2 linked regions of the Caenorhabditis elegans genome follow. The protein of the gene in region 1 interacts with the protein of each later gene in a pairwise test. Each region holds a gene or a part of one and is shown on either strand. Other genes may lie near its edges. The genes, in order: ceh-2 and tbx-9.

The links.
Region 2: the proteins of ceh-2 (region 1) and tbx-9 interact in a two-hybrid assay, tested with the Caenorhabditis elegans proteins (one large-scale study listed by BioGRID).

What each region holds. Positions count from the first base shown.
Region 1 is NC_003279.8:6,048,501-6,052,426, reverse strand, and holds the start of ceh-2 (Homeobox protein ceh-2), read left to right. Parts: upstream 1-1,975; 5' UTR 1,976-2,039; coding exon 2,040-2,129; intron 2,130-2,649; coding exon 2,650-2,893; intron 2,894-2,967; coding exon 2,968-3,140; intron 3,141-3,926. UniProt on the Caenorhabditis elegans protein: Required for activity of the M3 pharyngeal motor neuron.
Region 2 is NC_003281.10:10,339,723-10,343,648, forward strand, and holds tbx-9 (T-box transcription factor tbx-9), read right to left. Parts: upstream 2,137-3,926; 5' UTR 2,130-2,136; coding exon 1,837-2,129; intron 1,412-1,836; coding exon 1,336-1,411; intron 1,279-1,335; coding exon 1,126-1,278; intron 700-1,125; coding exon 343-699; 3' UTR 284-342; downstream 1-283. UniProt on the Caenorhabditis elegans protein: Transcription factor. Involved in the control of early morphogenesis of the intestine, hypodermis and body-wall muscle. Involved in regulating expression of vab-7. Appears to have partially redundant function to tbx-8.

The sequences.
Region 1 (3,926 bases):
CACAACGTTTTGGTGGCTGAAGGTATCAAAAAGTTTATAACTAAAACTTTGTTCACTATTATTCAACAAACATTTTGTTAGTTGATCATTTTTCAAAATATTTTATCTCAACGAAGTTATGCAACTTCAAAGTTGGTTAAATATTTTGCACAAAGTTCGTGAGATGTAGATCATTTCGACGGTTTACTTGCGAATAGAGAGTTAAAACTTGTGTAATGTACGTTTTATACATTTCTGAACAACAACATAGCAATTTCATAATTGTTTAGAAAAATGAAATTTTTTGAATTTTTTGCTTGGAGTTGATCAAGAAATTTTGAGCAAAAATGAAAAAAATAAAAATTTCCAAAAAGTGCGGACAATGATTCTAGGTTCCCGAATAAGAATAAAATCACTTTAAAAATGCGCAAAAATGTTTGAATGAGTTGTTTTACAACTTTATTCAACTTACAAAAATATTTCAAAAATAGAAGGAATCGAACCAAAGCTTAAATCTTATCAGACGCGCGCACTCCCAACTCGGCCACCGAGGACATTTTACAACTCAATGTGGTGGGTGTCACATTTTCGGTGGTCACGCAAGCTGAGATTTGCGTGGATTGCATGGTAAGACAGTGGATTTCAATGGTGTTTTTAACTGAAATTTCAAAACGTCTTAACTTTGCTGAAACTTGACCTGGGCAGCTAAATTTTTTGGAGAGATCATAACTAACACTCTTCTGTAGGAATTTTAGCATGAGAACCCCAAATCTACGGACCCCCTCAAAGACTTCCCTTGTTAGGACTTTTTCAGTTGAGTAAAGTATTTTCGCCACCCTGGATTTTGGGTAAACCCACCCATTCGTTTCTGTTCAAAAATTCTCGCATATTCAACAATAACAACTTCTTTGTTACCCTTCTAATGACCTATTTATTATAACAATAATAATGAATAAATATGGGCGCTAGCTCAGCTCACGGCGAGTCAGGTTACCTCCGCCGAGTCTGGTACACAATTACATAATCTCGATGTCGTCAGTGTCTATCCAACGTAGAGGTTGAATCTATTATATAATAACAATCTTGTATGCTGTTCGGAAATTATTGCTCTCTGAAAAGTTGATTTAAGCCTTTTTGATTTGAAAACCCCAAAGAGTGACATTTGATATTCCACCTGCTGCTCTACACACTTCGCTCCTGTTGCTGTCGTCGGAGAGATGGCCGAGCGGTCCAAGGCGCTGGTTTAAGGCACCAGTCCCTTCGGGGGCGTGGGTTCGAATCCCACTCTCTTCAGTTTCTTTTTGAACAATTTTATAAATTTTGTGCTCATCTCGTGCTCACTTCACCTCGATTACTAACATAATATACCTATTTCTGAGCCCAACGTCCGCTGCTTTCGGGCGCACAAAAGATGTAATCCGAGATCTGCGATTTGTACATATTTCGGATACATTTTCAATCTCCATTTCCAACTCATCTTCTAATTCGGGACAATGAGCATCATCATGAGCATGTGTACACAAGGTAGTTCGGTCGCCCAGTTGCCGATTACATAGGCACCCGGTTGCCGAGTAGACGAGTTGTAAAAACAGGGCACCACGAGATATTGCCGATTTCCACATAAACTACTTATTAAAGTCTGGAGATTTAATTCATATGTCAAGAAAAATGTTCGTGAAAGCAACAATATATGTACTAGAAATCCCTAAGACGACGACTATCGCTGACGTTACATTGCTCCAAAAGAATGCAATGAATTGTGATTACACCATGAGAGTTTTCAAAACTTTAAACCTCAAATTAATATTTCAACTTATTAACCTACTTCCTATTCTTTTCAATTCTTTATTTGTCTATCGTCTCTTTATTCCCAATGATCTCTCTTCTAAGAGCTTCTACCTTATCGGCTACTGTGTCCAATTACCCATCGACGCTCCTCCCTCTTTTGCGCGAAACTGGGCGGAGCCTAAGATGAGATTCAGTAAAATAGGTTCTCATTTGGGAAATCAACTTACCCTTTTTGGCTAGTTTACTTATTTTTTCTAATATTCGGAGTGAAAATGACTCTGAAATTTTCGGTGGAACGACTGGTGGATAGTGAGAAGGAATCGGAAGAAGCCGACGTGGAAGAGCAAAATAATTTGAAAAAAGTAAGTGAAAATTGGAATTATAAGATTTAAAAATCTTGTCTTTAGAGTTGAAAATGAGGTTCCAAAAAAATTGTGGGGAATTTAGCTCTCCGAAATTTTTTTTTCTTGTCTAATGTATAAGTTGTCCCTAGATAATTTTCTAGACTTTAAATCTGTAAATTATTGCATAGAAATGTTGGTTTTCAAAACTGTCCAAGATGAGTGAAAAAATACGAATTTTCAAATATAATAATTCAGTAAATTCCGTAGAGCTCAAATCCGCATTGGAGGCTACTTTTTTTAAACTCAAAGGCTGAAGCCTGCTTTTAGTCAGTTTCCTTTACATACCGTGACCTAGTTTCCACTTATTTCCTCTTTTACGAATTCCGTTTGTAAAGTTTTAAACGTACTTTTAAAATACAAATCAACTATTGAGCAGAATATTGCAAATTATTGCCCCATGAAAACAAACTCTTCCACCATGCTATTTTTTCAAATTTTTCAAAAAAAAAAACAAACTTAAATGTCAAATAAATCCCAGCTAGAAGAAGACGAAGAAGACGATGAACTATGTGAAAAATCAGGAAAGAATGAGCCACTTTCACAGACACTCTCATATTTTGACGTTCTTCTTCCGCATGTTCAAATGGCTTGTTCGAATCCGTTTATTTCGGGTATTGGAGCATCAGGCAGTGGAGATCAGAATTTGAATACAGGTGCTGGCGGATCTGTATGGCAACATCCATGGCTTGAATTGTTGCAAAGTACGACAGCTGCACAATTCGGTAAGATTATCAATCGAGTTTCCTAAAATAAATTATAAAGACTTTAAACTTGAGAAAATATAAAATTTTTACAGGTGACGTCACAGCTGGGCTCTTTCTTCAACCTCTCCGAAAAAACAAAAGAATTCGAACGGCATTTAGTGCATCTCAACTGATACAACTAGAAAAGGCATTCGAAGGAAATCATTACGTCGTGGGAAATGAGCGAAAACAGTTGGCAGCAAAGTTGAGCTTAACGGAAACACAGGTGAGTGTTCGTGTTTGACACGTGGCCGCACGATACAGAAAACTCGGCCACTCACAGAAACTGAAAGAGTTCTCTTCCACACAACTGCGGATAATTTTAAACTCTTTTGTTACAATTGACCGAGTTTTTCCTCTTTCACGGTCGAGGCGTGAAAAGGGCGCCTCGACCCTTCCCTTCATTTGCCCGCGCTTGCCTCACGTTATATAACATGTTCTACAAGTTTTCGGGTTTTCTCTATGATAAACAGGTGTATTTCACAAGTATTTCACAGTCAATGTTTCAAAAAACTAAGTGAATACGAAACGTGGAGTCGATGCGCCATGTATTGAGCGCAACAAATGGCTTGGGTAGGCATCTTTGAATTTGTGTAACGTTAGAGTGAGGCTAAGTATAAAATTATGGAATATTGTATCTGAAAGAATATGTAAAAAAAATCAGAAAATGTTTGACTACAAAAATATAAAAAACTTTTTGGCCAATAATTTATTAATTCGTTGTTTTTTGATAAAACTAAAAGTAACTTACCGATTTACCTTTGGAAGCTCATATCTCGGTTTTTTTCAAAGATGTCAAAATTTTGTCAACTATAACATTACTTATCAGAAGTTTTTCTACAATTTGGAAGTTAAAAGTTTTTTATATCTTTATCTTGAATCAAGATACGAGCGGTAATAGTTCCATTGAGACATGGTGCATCGACTCAACTTTGGCAGCTCATATCTTGCTTCTCTTTAATTTTATCAATTTTTTTGGAAATACAGGCTACCTAACATGGTGCATCAAACA
Region 2 (3,926 bases), on another chromosome or scaffold:
CATCCTCAGAATTGTGTGTTCTCGTAATGTCTTGAAAATTTTCCATTTCAACATCAAATAAGCAAATCTAAAAATGTGGGTTCTGCAGCGACCACTATGACTGTGATCGTGGCAAGACCCACTCAGAAAACTACGTGTTCCTTTAAACAATACATTTTTAAGTATTGTAGGTATAAAAATTGTTGGCTAGCAGTCTAGGCTGCCTTTTTCAGTCGACAAACTTCTAATTTAATCGGCGGGTCTTCAAAAAGTCGTTTCTTTGAAAATATAAAGCTTTATATATTTATATATTAAAAATTTTGATTACATGATATCAAAAGCGACCAGTTTGCATAAAAATTATCAACCAACAATATCAATATCTTCTTCTACCTCCTGATCCTCCTCCTTCACAATGCTCAGCTCACTGCTCGAGCTGGAAGGAGTCGACGGGAGAGGCGAGAGAAATGGAAAAGCGAATGGAAATTGGACTGGAAGATTTTCAGATAACATATGGGGAAAATAAAAAAGAAATGGGTTGATTGGAGGCATCGACTGAAGAGGTGCGACCTCCGGTGGTGATCTGGATTTTGGCGATGGGGACTGTGAGTTGCTGCCGTCGGAATATGATGGTGATCTTCTCTTGCGACTCAAGTTCCCGTCACGGAAACCTTTGGCAAAACTGTTGTGCTTGATTTTCAAGTCGGTGATTTTTTGGTTCTGAAATGAGGAAAAATTAGGTTTATTATTCAACTCTCTCTATCTTTGAAAACAAAGAATCTATTAAGAAATTGTTAAACACCATATTATGGATCACAAAGCGAGCAATATTTTTGTAGTTGACAACTTTTATATAGCTCTTTTTATTGGCGAGGTAGGAGTGCTTAAAGTAGCGCAGTTTCAAATTTATAAATAGAGCCAAATTTTGAGCAAGTGTAACTCTCCTTCTTTTAACTCTATTAAAAACTTGTCAACTAACTAATTAATCTTTACAACTAGGGTTACAAATTATTAGTTAACGACTTCTTGATAAGTATGATGGTTGACAAGACTTCCCCCTTCCTTCCCAGATTTCCCATTGTTCACAAAATATTGATTCTTCCGAGATAAGATCCATGCGCTAATACTCTTACTCTCAATACTAACCTGGTAAGCCGTTACTGCAATAAACTCGGTATGAGGGAATTTGGCGGTGGCGACGATTTGGTTTGAGGATTGTGGGACGCAGAAAGGGCTCTCCGATGGAGACTCGTAGATTGTCAGCACTGGAATGTACTTGTGCATGCTGTTGAGGTAAATCTGAAATTTCAATTTTAAATTGGAAATTGCCAAGTAATTTTAAAGTTGAAATCCTACCATTGAAGCGTTGTTGGACTCTGAATAGTTGGAGATTTTCACACGATCAAAGCAAATCGAACTCCACATCCAGTCACTGAAATTAATTGGGGTTACTTTGAAGATATAAATTTAGCAAATTTAGAATTATTTTCATCTGAATTATGTTGTCAGTTGACAAACGACAAACTTTGAAAACTTTAATGTTAGATGAGATGTAACCCTCAAAATATTCCAAAGGCATTTGAATGCCAGTGTCGGCAGCTCTAACTCTTCAATGGCTCAAGCTAGAAAAAAGTTGTCAACTGGCAAATTGTAGATGATAAATCAGTTAACAATTTTCCAGTTAACATCTTTTTTAAAACTTCCAAGCCCGCTGAGATATGGCGCTTTGAAGTTGTAATACCAGGGCGGAGCTAAAAAAAGTTGCCAATTGACAAAATGGTTCTCACTATTTTGATAATCATGTCAGTTTACAAATCTTCATAGCTTCTAATCTTCCAATTCCTATGTCACACTCACCTTCCCTTCCGAACTCCATCAGCATGCCACATCTTCTTCGCGTCGACCTGCTTCTCAGCTTTGCCCGTTTCCTGCCACTTTCCACCGCTGAACTTGAATCGACTTTCTCCAACTGGTTGTAATTGGAGCATTATTGCATACAGCTTGTTTTCATCAAGCCCTTCGACTATATATTCCAACTTTGGGAACAACTTTCGGCCGTTCTTCGTGACAATCATCTCGTTGACTTCTGCGTGGAATATCTTCCAGAGAGTTTCTTGGGATCCTTCGATTGATACTTTGACTTTGGACATTTTTTGTCTGAAAACGTTAAAATATATTATGAAAACGAACAGCAAAAAAAAAGTTGGAAAATGGTATAAGATATAATGTTATATTCTCACCGGTTTGGCAGCTACACTTGCTTAGAGTGTGGTACCAGTGAGAAGGAGGAGCGGGAAAACTATTCTAACTTAAAAACGGTGGTATCTAGCAAAAAGTTGTTAACTAACAAAGCAACAATGATAAAATTTGCAATATTTTGTTAGTTGACAACTATTTGGTATCTCTTGCCAGTTTTGAGATAACGTCTGAGATATCCCCGCCGTTCAAAAATAAGAAAACAAAAAAATAGAAAAATAAGAAACACGATAAGATAGAGATGTCATCACAAAAAAATGGTGATTTAAGACAAAGAAGTGAGAAATTGTGCACATCTTCACCCCATCTCACCTCATTGCCAAACCACACCCCTCTGCAAGGGCGGGCAGGTTGTGCGCGTGGCCCTCTCGGCTATCGATTCTGGGAAGACTTGGCGGCTGACTGGTAGATCAAAAGAGTTGGGTATACTTTCAAAACAAAATTGGGAGATCAAATTCTGATGTGGCATAGAAATAGAGAAGACGGTCCGAAAATGTTGGTTTTATGTAAACTTCAAAAAATGTTCAAAATTTAAAGATGATACAACTTCCTTATTAATTAAAGAATTATGCTATGTATACCATGCTTATCGACAGTATGGATTTTGTATATTTTTACTTTGAGATCACTTTTCTCAAGAAAGAATGACAGTAAAAATTAATGTAAACTGAATTTTTTTGTACCATATAAAAACCGAAATTTGAAAAAAATAACTTTATTTAATGTTTCAAAATAAAGATTTTACCATTTTACATTTTCATACCTTCCACAATTACCCATTATTCCATCTTCAAACCCTCCTTCTATTTCCAGATAATATACCATTTCCAAGTATACCCCTTTTTTGTCGGTTACCTCCAAAAGAGCATACGTTGTAAAATTTTTGAGCCGGTTAGTTGTAGTGGGCTCTTTTGATAGAACACCGACAGTATTGACTGGAGGTGTAAAAATTGGTAGCTGAAGGAAAATGGATAAAAGAAAACATTGGTTAACGGATCAAAATTATTTTGCATTTTTAGACATAAAGTGATATTAAAAATTCGAATTTCATAACGAATGTTCTAAAACATTGCTCAAAAATATTAGGAAAAACTCTCCAAATTTTGCAGATCCATTAAAATTTCTGAGCAATTTTTGAGCAAACCTTTTAAGTCTATAAGTCAGGATAATTTTGATATATTCGTCTTCCCAAAAGCTATCAAAAAGATGTCAACTTTCAAAAAAAAACTCAATTTTTTTCCGGGGTCTAACTTTTTTGTGGATGCAGCTATCAAAAATTTGTCAACTAACTGATTGTTCATAATTTCCAGAGCTATATTTTGTCAGTTGGCAACTATTCGGTAAACTCGAAGCTTTTCGAGATAATCGTTTCCCAAATTGTTATCTGAACCCAAATTTCTCCGACCCCATTAGCCCCATTTTCCTAGAAAATAAGACTGATCTCCAAAACACCAAAAAAAAAGCTGTAAAACTTTACTCTTCCCAAAACTCTCCGAGTCGGTGTTTTTACGGGGGGTACCTCTAAATCAGGTGGTCGATAAACATCGTGGCGGATTTATAACCTCCACAATTGTTAGTTGGCGTCAATGGATATACAGGTGATAAGGTTTACAATCACTGATTAGTTGTTCTGAATTTTTTTTTCCCAGGAACACAAAAATTGAGGTTTCCTGCTTTTAAAATGTTTTTAA